Linked DNA regions of Ovis aries. The protein of the gene in region 2 interacts with the protein of the main gene of each other region in a pairwise test. Links are inferred from orthologs where the notes say so. Each region holds a gene or a part of one and is shown on either strand. Other genes may lie near its edges.

Region 1 (4,288 bases), on a different chromosome or scaffold from region 2:
AGAGAAAAGACTGTGGAGAAGGGTGACATGCCTGCATTTCCAGGCTTTCAATTAAACCTCAAGGTTTAAAAAGAAAGTAAACAATTACTTCCCTTCGTTTGCTACCATGATGTTAATTCAAATCACTGCCTGTGATTGTAATATCATTTGGGGCAGAAAATGTTCCTTTAATATTTGACTTTCTCCAACTACCATGGGAGTCGACGATAGAAACACAAATAGAAGAAAACCCACAAAAGGAAGGCAGCCCTTATACCAAAGAGAGATACTGAATATTTAGCTTTGACATATGCATATGCATTTTGTTAACGAGTCTTTCTACAGTGCTTGTCCCTTGTTTAGTATATATAAATGGCATATAGATCATTGGTATGAAGTGATAAATCTGAAAGTAGGGCCACTTCCTTTTCCTCTCTTTGGTAGGCAAACCTCTTCTGCAAATAGCTGACAAACTCCTGAATAGTCATCATTTTATAAATCATTTGAAATGGATTCTTTAAAACACCATCTGTTGATCTGTTTAAGTTTCCTATGAAAACAGGACGTCAGCTCAGATATTCTGGAGGTTCCAGCAGGTAAATACCAACCCGAATTCAGCCATATTAAATATTCAGAGAAGCACAGAACTTTAGAGCAGAAGGGAACTGTTGAGATCACCTTGGTCTCCTGTCTTACTTTCCATCTGAGGCAAGTAGAACCCAGAAGGGTTCTGTGACTTGCCCCAAGTAGCACAGCCGTGAAAACCCAAGTCTGGGCTGGAACCAGGAGATTCTAACTCTCAGGCTAGCACTCTTCCACCACCCCTGCTCTTTTCTCTCTCCCTCTTTCTAAACCTTAGGGGTTGGAATAAGATATACATTTAACTATAGTTTTAACCTATTTATATTATTCACCAGCTACATCTACAATCAAAACAAAACATACGTCTACAGATTCAGCTTTAGATATACAGGCAATTTCAAACCCTGCCCGGGAAATTTTAAAGCCTTCCAAGTATGTTTAACAAAGTGTTTTAAAGACTTAGCAATAAAGTGAACTCAGTAATAGAGCATGGAGTGAAAGGCTGAACTTTGTATTAAGAAAACATTTTGGAGTTTCATTGATATGGAAATCGAAATTAACAGCAGTGATTTTTTTTTTTTCTTTTTTTAAGTCTTGCAAGCACGGAGAGCATGAGATTATTCAAAACTGCTCTGGAGCAGCAAAGATTATTTTAAGCTCATGATTCAACCAGCACATTAATTAAAAACTCTACCAACCCAAATCGACAGATCCTGATATCAATGGGACAAGAAGAATTAAAATAATAGTTGTCACATAAAAATAGATTAAAAGAGGGAACAGCGGCGGATGTCAGAAGGGCAATGACAAGCAAGCGTTGTGGGAAACTAGATGCAGCTAATGGGCAGCTTTTATGGATTTTTTTTTTTTAAAAAACGAAGATCCTAGAAATACACGTACAGACAAGAAATGCTTCTTTGAATCTTGTTTCTGGAAGCTAAGTGATAAAACTTGGCTAATAATTCCTTGCCGAGGAGTAGCTATGCAAGCAGGGAGAGGAGACCACAACCGCGGAAAGAGACAAAACAGAGCTAGGTGATCGGAAGGGGCCAAAGCAGTGGAGGGAACAGGGCACTGAGAAACGTGAGGTGAGGGGGCACAGCCTGTTACTCCACCGGCCAGCACCAACTTAACAACAGACGCCTATGGCCAGTAGTGCCTTTCCTTTCCCTGCGTCTGCCCTCGGCTCTGCAGCCGGCTCCCACGACCCCTCGGGGTGACTGACTTGATCCCCACAAGGTCGGCATTAATTTCTATTCTTCCACTTATTCCTCCGAGCAAACGAGAGCTCTCTCGGCTGTCAACGCCCGACAGTCTCGAGCGGGAAGCTTTTTCTTTGACATCTGTCAAATCCGGTGCTAAAGCCAGCCTCGCTGCGCCCTCCGCGGGTCTCCAGGACTCCAGGGCGGCCGGCGGGCCCACACCTGGGCATCGGGTGACATTCCGCCTGTCGTGGAGCACCTGCTCGCAGACCCACGGGGATCCTCCCCGGACTGCCCAGGACCCAGACGGCGCAGGCCGGACCGAAGTTCGCATGAGGGAGTCGGCCGCATCCCCGGGCCGGGAATACCAGGTGCAGCCCCAGCACCCGTGAAAGGGTCAAAGGGGTAAGGGGTGGCTCTGACTCCCCAAGCCCGGCGGAGACGCCCTCCCCGCCCCCACCCAGCCCTGCAGGCTCCCGAAAGGAAAGTAGAGGGAAGAGGGAGGAAGGGCAGAAGCCGCATCTCTAACCCAACGCCCTTGGAGTGCAGCCGTCAAGGATGGTCCCCTCGGGGGTCCCTGAACCTTCCGGGGATACATCCTAGGACTAGCCCTCAGCCGGGTCACTGATCCCAAAGGGTGGAGCTGTCCCTTTAAGAGGCAGCTGGCTGCTCCTGCCACCACCACCACCACCGCCCCCCCAACCCCAACCCGGCCACTTCAGGTAGCTATGCCCGCGGAGGGGAGACGGGTATTTCCGCGGACTCTCTCCCGGTCCCTTTAAGGGTGCCTGCGGCACCTCTGCCCGTTCTAGTCCGCAGCGCCAGCCCCCGCGAGGGAGGATGGGGGCGGACGAGCGCGGCGCCTTTAAGGGGCGCAGCCTCCCCGCGGCCCGGGTGGGGGCAGGGAGCGGGCACGGGCCCTTTAAGGCCGGCAGCGGGCACGTCGGGCAGGGCTCCCCGGCGGCCGGGCTGCGCCCCGGGCGGCGGCGGGGGCTTTGAGCCTGCCAGGGTGCTAACGGCCCCGACGGGGTGCCCGCGGCCGCACCGCTGGCTGCGGCCAGCCCGACACTCACCGTGGCTCGCCGGGAGCGCCCGCGCCCGCGCCCCCACTCGGATCCCGCGGCGGCGGCGGCGGTGAGTCCGGCGCGGGTAAACAGGCACCTCCGTCCCTGACCTACTTTCTGCCTTCCCTAAATGTCGCACCACTAACCTACTTTCCGACCAATCCGCTCCCCGCCGGCCCAGGCCCGGCCCCCCGCCCACCAATCGCTGTGCCCAACCCCCCTTCCCCGCCCACCAATGGAGGAGTCGCGGAGCCCGGATACCTGCCTCTTCCCTCCAGCCAATCCTAGAGCCCGAAGAGAGCCGGTCTCGGCGGCCACCCCCGGCCAATCCGCGCGCGGCTCGGCGGCCTAATAGCCAGTTGTGTGGCAGCAAGAGAGGCCGCTGACCAATGGCGAGGCGGCGAGGGCCGGTTTACCTGCTACTTTCCCGCCACCAATCGCTTGGCGCACAGAAGCACACGCCCCAAGGAGAGGACCAATCGACGCGTTTTCCCTGGATTTCCTCGCCCCTGTCCTCTCTCTTTCCCCTGGTCTCCCGTTAGCCTTGGCCACTGCGGGTCCAGACGCCGCACTCTTTGCAGTCGCTTGAGATGTCCTTCTCTAGGTTCCTGACTTGCTTCTGGGTCACGGCTCTCACTACATCTCCTTTTTTCACTCGGGGCATCCTGACTAAAGCAACATTTCCTCGTTCCCCTACCTCCAACTCCATCTAGGAAAACAGTTTTAGGAACACAGAGTGCCAGACCCTACCCAAAACATCCTGGTTTGCCAACGTCCAAACGAGAGAAGAAATACTTGGTATTTCTAGAAGGTTTTTCAATTCAAGTGTCCTTAAGTTCTTTTCGTTCTTCCTGACCTCCAAGCATCCGATTGGAGCTGTCTTTCCTGTTCAAAAGAGAAAACTCTAGCCTGGAGCCATTCCAGTGCTTTTCCTTTCAGTGGCCGCACTACTGTGTAGCAGACAACTTCCCAGTGGCTCTGTTTCTACCGTAGAAAAGCTGTCCAAGGAGTGAGACGGAAGGAAACAAATAGCTGCAGAAAATAAATGTTTCATAACAAGATACAACTTGAGTACTGAGAGGAGGAAGAATCTTATTTTTGCATCTCAAGCACTTGACAGAGGGCCTTTAACACAAAGAGCTCCCTACCCTTTTAGATGTTAAACTCCCTAAATGAAAGGACCTCGTCTTTTTTGTTATACTCACCCCCTCACCTTTAGCACCTAGCTGGGAGTGAGATAGAGGGATGGGGGCAGTGCCTGATTCCTAGCATGTTTGTTGACTGGATATGGGAACAAATTGATCTAAATCACTTAGCTCAATCTTGTGACCCAGACTACTCTCCAAGACACTAGATTTCTAGCCTTGTTCATTGAACACAGAAACTGCATTTTAAATATTGTAAAACGGTAGCCTGTCCTCAGTTCACTGCCAGGTACATAGTGGTTGTCTAAGCTCACTG
Region 2 (3,817 bases):
TTACCAATAATTTTTTATGAAGCCTAAATGCTAGTATGCAAATGGCTATAGTGAAAAAGAATAATTGGTTATTCCCAAATTGTATTTAATTTGGTTATAAATACCATTAGCAAGCTCTTTGTTTTTAGTATTACTTAATTGAGAAATTAGTGATCAGAATTAAATATAAAATATATATGTAAGATACATATGTTAACATTTAAAAAAAACATGCACAATAGAAAATACCAAGTAATTATCACTATAGTAATATAGAATCCTAATTAATAAAACTTGCTAATTACTCCTTGATACAATATTGGCCTGGTTTAGCTTTTATTGATGATTAGAAGGTTCTCTGAGCTATGCTGCAAAATAGTTTTACATTTCCATGTGTATTATTTTTTGTTTTTGCCTTTAGGCTTATTAGCCACTTGTTTTTTCCACTTATAGATGCTTAATTTTCTTTGTCATAAAAGTTTTGATATTTGCAGGCTGTATATTTTTGACATCTAGCAGATGTTTATAAACTGATTTTTAGATTTGTTAATTGTTTTAACAAGTTTCTTGGTCCTATAAGAAGCTAATATTCTTGAAGTCTTAAGTGCAAATGGCTATGGTGAAAAAGAATAATGGGTTATTCCCAAATTGTATCTAATTCAGATTACCATTGACAAGGCTCTTTCCTTATAGTATTACTTAATTGAGAAATTAGTGATCAGAATTAAATATAAAAGATATACGTAAGATACATATATTGACATTAAACAAAAACGTACAATAGAAAATAGAAGTGATTTTTCATTTTTATTTTCATTTTTACTATCTCCATTTAATTTTCTTATTTTAGACTTTTAAATGTTTATCAAATTATATTGTCCTTTTAAAAATACTAATAGTATTTTACTAATTTTTGTAATAGGATCATAGAACTAAATGGTGGTCAGCCACCTCTTACCTATAAAAGATTCCAGACTCTCATCAGTAAAATGGAACCACTAGAAATACCAGTAGAGACAATTACTTCAGAAGTGATGGAAAAGTGCACAACTCCTCTATCTGATGACCATGATGAGAAATATGGAGTCCCATCACTGGAAGAACTAGGTAGGTATAAGCAATAATACATGTGGAGCTTAAGAGTTAATAAACCATTCAGAAAAATTCCACTTCTAATTTGACATGTATTTTGCACTAAAAGGAAAAGAAAGGAGAAAAAAGAAAGTCTTAAACTAAAAAGTGATTAATCTGTGTATTATTTACGTATGCTATTAATTCATGGTCTATCTGTTATCACCTTAAGATAAATGTCTCAAAGGACAGAGACCATGTTATTTATCATCTATCTGTGAGGACCTATCCAGGGAGTCATTTCATTTTTATGCTGTCAGATTTTTTTTCCATTTCCTTTTTTTTTTTTTAGGTTTTGATACAGATGGCTTACCCTCTGCAGTGTGGCCAGGTGGAGAAACTGAAGCACTTACACGTTTGGAAAGGCATTTGGAAAGAAAAGTATGATAATACAGATGATGTTTATATTGTCAAATTGTCATTTAAAAAATATTCACTCTTTTTTAAAAACAAAAAAATAGGCTGTTGAAAAAGGAGGATTAAGAGAAATAATTAAAATAGCACAAATGTAATTGAAGATTAACAACTGTTTTCATTTAAATACCCATCTTCCTCCTGTCTGATTATTTCCTCTTTAGCTAGTATCAGTACCACCCCTCTATGGTTTCTGTGTAAGTATCTGATGACTTTAAAGCTAGGATAGAGTTCTTCTATTTCACATTATCTCAGTGTCAGAAAGACAGGTTGAAGGTGCTCTCAACCTTGTGTTAGGAATTTGCCGCATGAGGATGACTAAAACAAAAGAATGCTCACTTTTATCTTGTTTTTTATTAAAATCTGTCATTTATGGCTGAAAAAATGAGATTTTATTCCCCAAGGACTATGTAACGTTCTTGAAAAGCTCAATTTCAAACAGTCTTTTAAAATTGGAAAGGCAGCATAATTTTCTCTGTGTTTTGTTCAGGCTTGGGTGGCAAACTTTGAAAGACCTCGAATGAATGCAAATTCCCTGCTCGCTAGCCCTACTGGACTCAGTCCTTATCTCCGATTTGGTTGTTTGTCATGTCGACTCTTTTATTTCAAACTGACAGATCTCTACAAAAAGGTATTATCTAGAACTGGAGCTTATTTTTAAAAAATACTTTTTATCAAAAAAAAATCACTGATAATACTTCTTTGCTTTTTAATCTTAGGTGAAGAAGAACAGTTCCCCTCCCCTTTCCCTTTATGGGCAACTATTATGGCGTGAATTTTTCTATACAGCAGCAACAAATAATCCACGCTTTGACAAAATGGAAGGAAACCCCATTTGTGTTCAGATTCCATGGGATAAGAATCCTGAGGCTTTAGCAAAATGGGCAGAAGGACGCACAGGCTTTCCATGGATTGATGCCATCATGACACAGCTTCGTCAGGAGGGTTGGATTCATCATTTAGCCAGACATGCAGTTGCTTGTTTCCTGACACGAGGTGACCTGTGGATTAGTTGGGAAGAAGGAATGAAGGTAAATGTTCTTCCAACTAATGTAGTATGGCTTTATTATGAAGAACTCTATACCTTTTATATATATATATATACACACACACACATACACACACACATACACACACACGTATATATATATAAAACAGTTCCTAAAAGTTGTCTATTATATAGATTCGTTTATAGTCTTGTTTCTTTTTTTCAATAGAAAAGCATTTATTTCTTAACTATAGAGGCAACTTTTGGGCATAATCAGAGTGCATTAACCTGAAGTCAGTTAACCTGAAGTCATTTCAGTGGCTAAATCAGCCTACCCATCAAGGGAACTCCAAAATTTAATACTCTGGACTTAGCAGATTTGTGTATATTTATAGGTGATCATTTCTGTCACATAAAGGAGTCATCAAAGAGTCTTAGAAATAGCCATCTTTATATTATAAATTTTAAAATATAAAAAATTTTGCCTCACTTCAACACCATAGCTTTTTATGTAATGTGATGCATACTACATTTTGTGACATCATCTTATGGGTATATATAAGAGGACTTAAATATGTTTTACCTTCCTATCTATTATCATAAATTTCCCCTTTCCAAAGACCATTTCTGATCCTATGTTTTTTTATATCTCTGTTTCCTAGCACCAAGTCATACATGAGGTAGATACATAGCACACACTTAATGAATTTATTAAAATAATTTAATTCTGTTTCCCTTTTGGATCAAGGAATCCCAAATTTAAATTCCATAATTCTAATTAAATTTTAAAGGTCATTTGTATTTGATTGTTCCCATTATGTAGACCAATGTACCAAACTTCCAAGTTGTTTTTTGGTGGTTTATTTGGTAGTATTTTTGCTTTCTTGAAAGTGTTTACTACTTTTTCTTCCTGTTTAAAAAAAAAAAATCTTCCCATATCCTAACTTATCCTTTTAAATCAATGAGTTGAATAACTTTTTCCCTCCCCTTTCCAATAACACTGCCAAGCTTACAATGGTAAATTCTATTCAGAAATCTGTATAGTACTAATATGTTTTTTTCCCCTGGAATAACTCATTATAGGATAGAACATAGATAAGGAAACTAACTTTGGAATGTTTAATTTTATAGTTCAGTGCTAGATTTTCTTTACCTTGACTTTTGATCTACAGAGACCTGGAAAATGCTTGCTTTGAGAAATATCTGTGTGCAAACTAATTGATTACCGTTACTTCTGAAGGTATTTGAAGAATTACTGCTTGATGCAGATTGGAGCATAAATGCTGGAAGTTGGATGTGGCTGTC

The links.
Region 1: the proteins of CRY1 (region 2) and BMAL1 interact in a two-hybrid assay, tested with the Homo sapiens proteins (3 studies listed by BioGRID, with this or other methods). The link is inferred for Ovis aries from reciprocal best matches to the Homo sapiens genes CRY1 and BMAL1.

Annotation. Positions count from the first base shown.
Region 1 is NC_056068.1:39,160,402-39,164,689, forward strand, and holds the start of BMAL1 (basic helix-loop-helix ARNT-like protein 1), read right to left. Parts: upstream 2,947-4,288; 5' UTR 2,837-2,946; intron 1-2,836. UniProt on the Homo sapiens protein: Transcriptional activator which forms a core component of the circadian clock.
Region 2 is NC_056056.1:175,886,934-175,890,750, reverse strand, and holds part of CRY1 (cryptochrome-1), read left to right. Parts: intron 1-901; coding exon 902-1,086; intron 1,087-1,402; coding exon 1,403-1,491; intron 1,492-2,014; coding exon 2,015-2,155; intron 2,156-2,243; coding exon 2,244-2,555; intron 2,556-3,752; coding exon 3,753-3,817.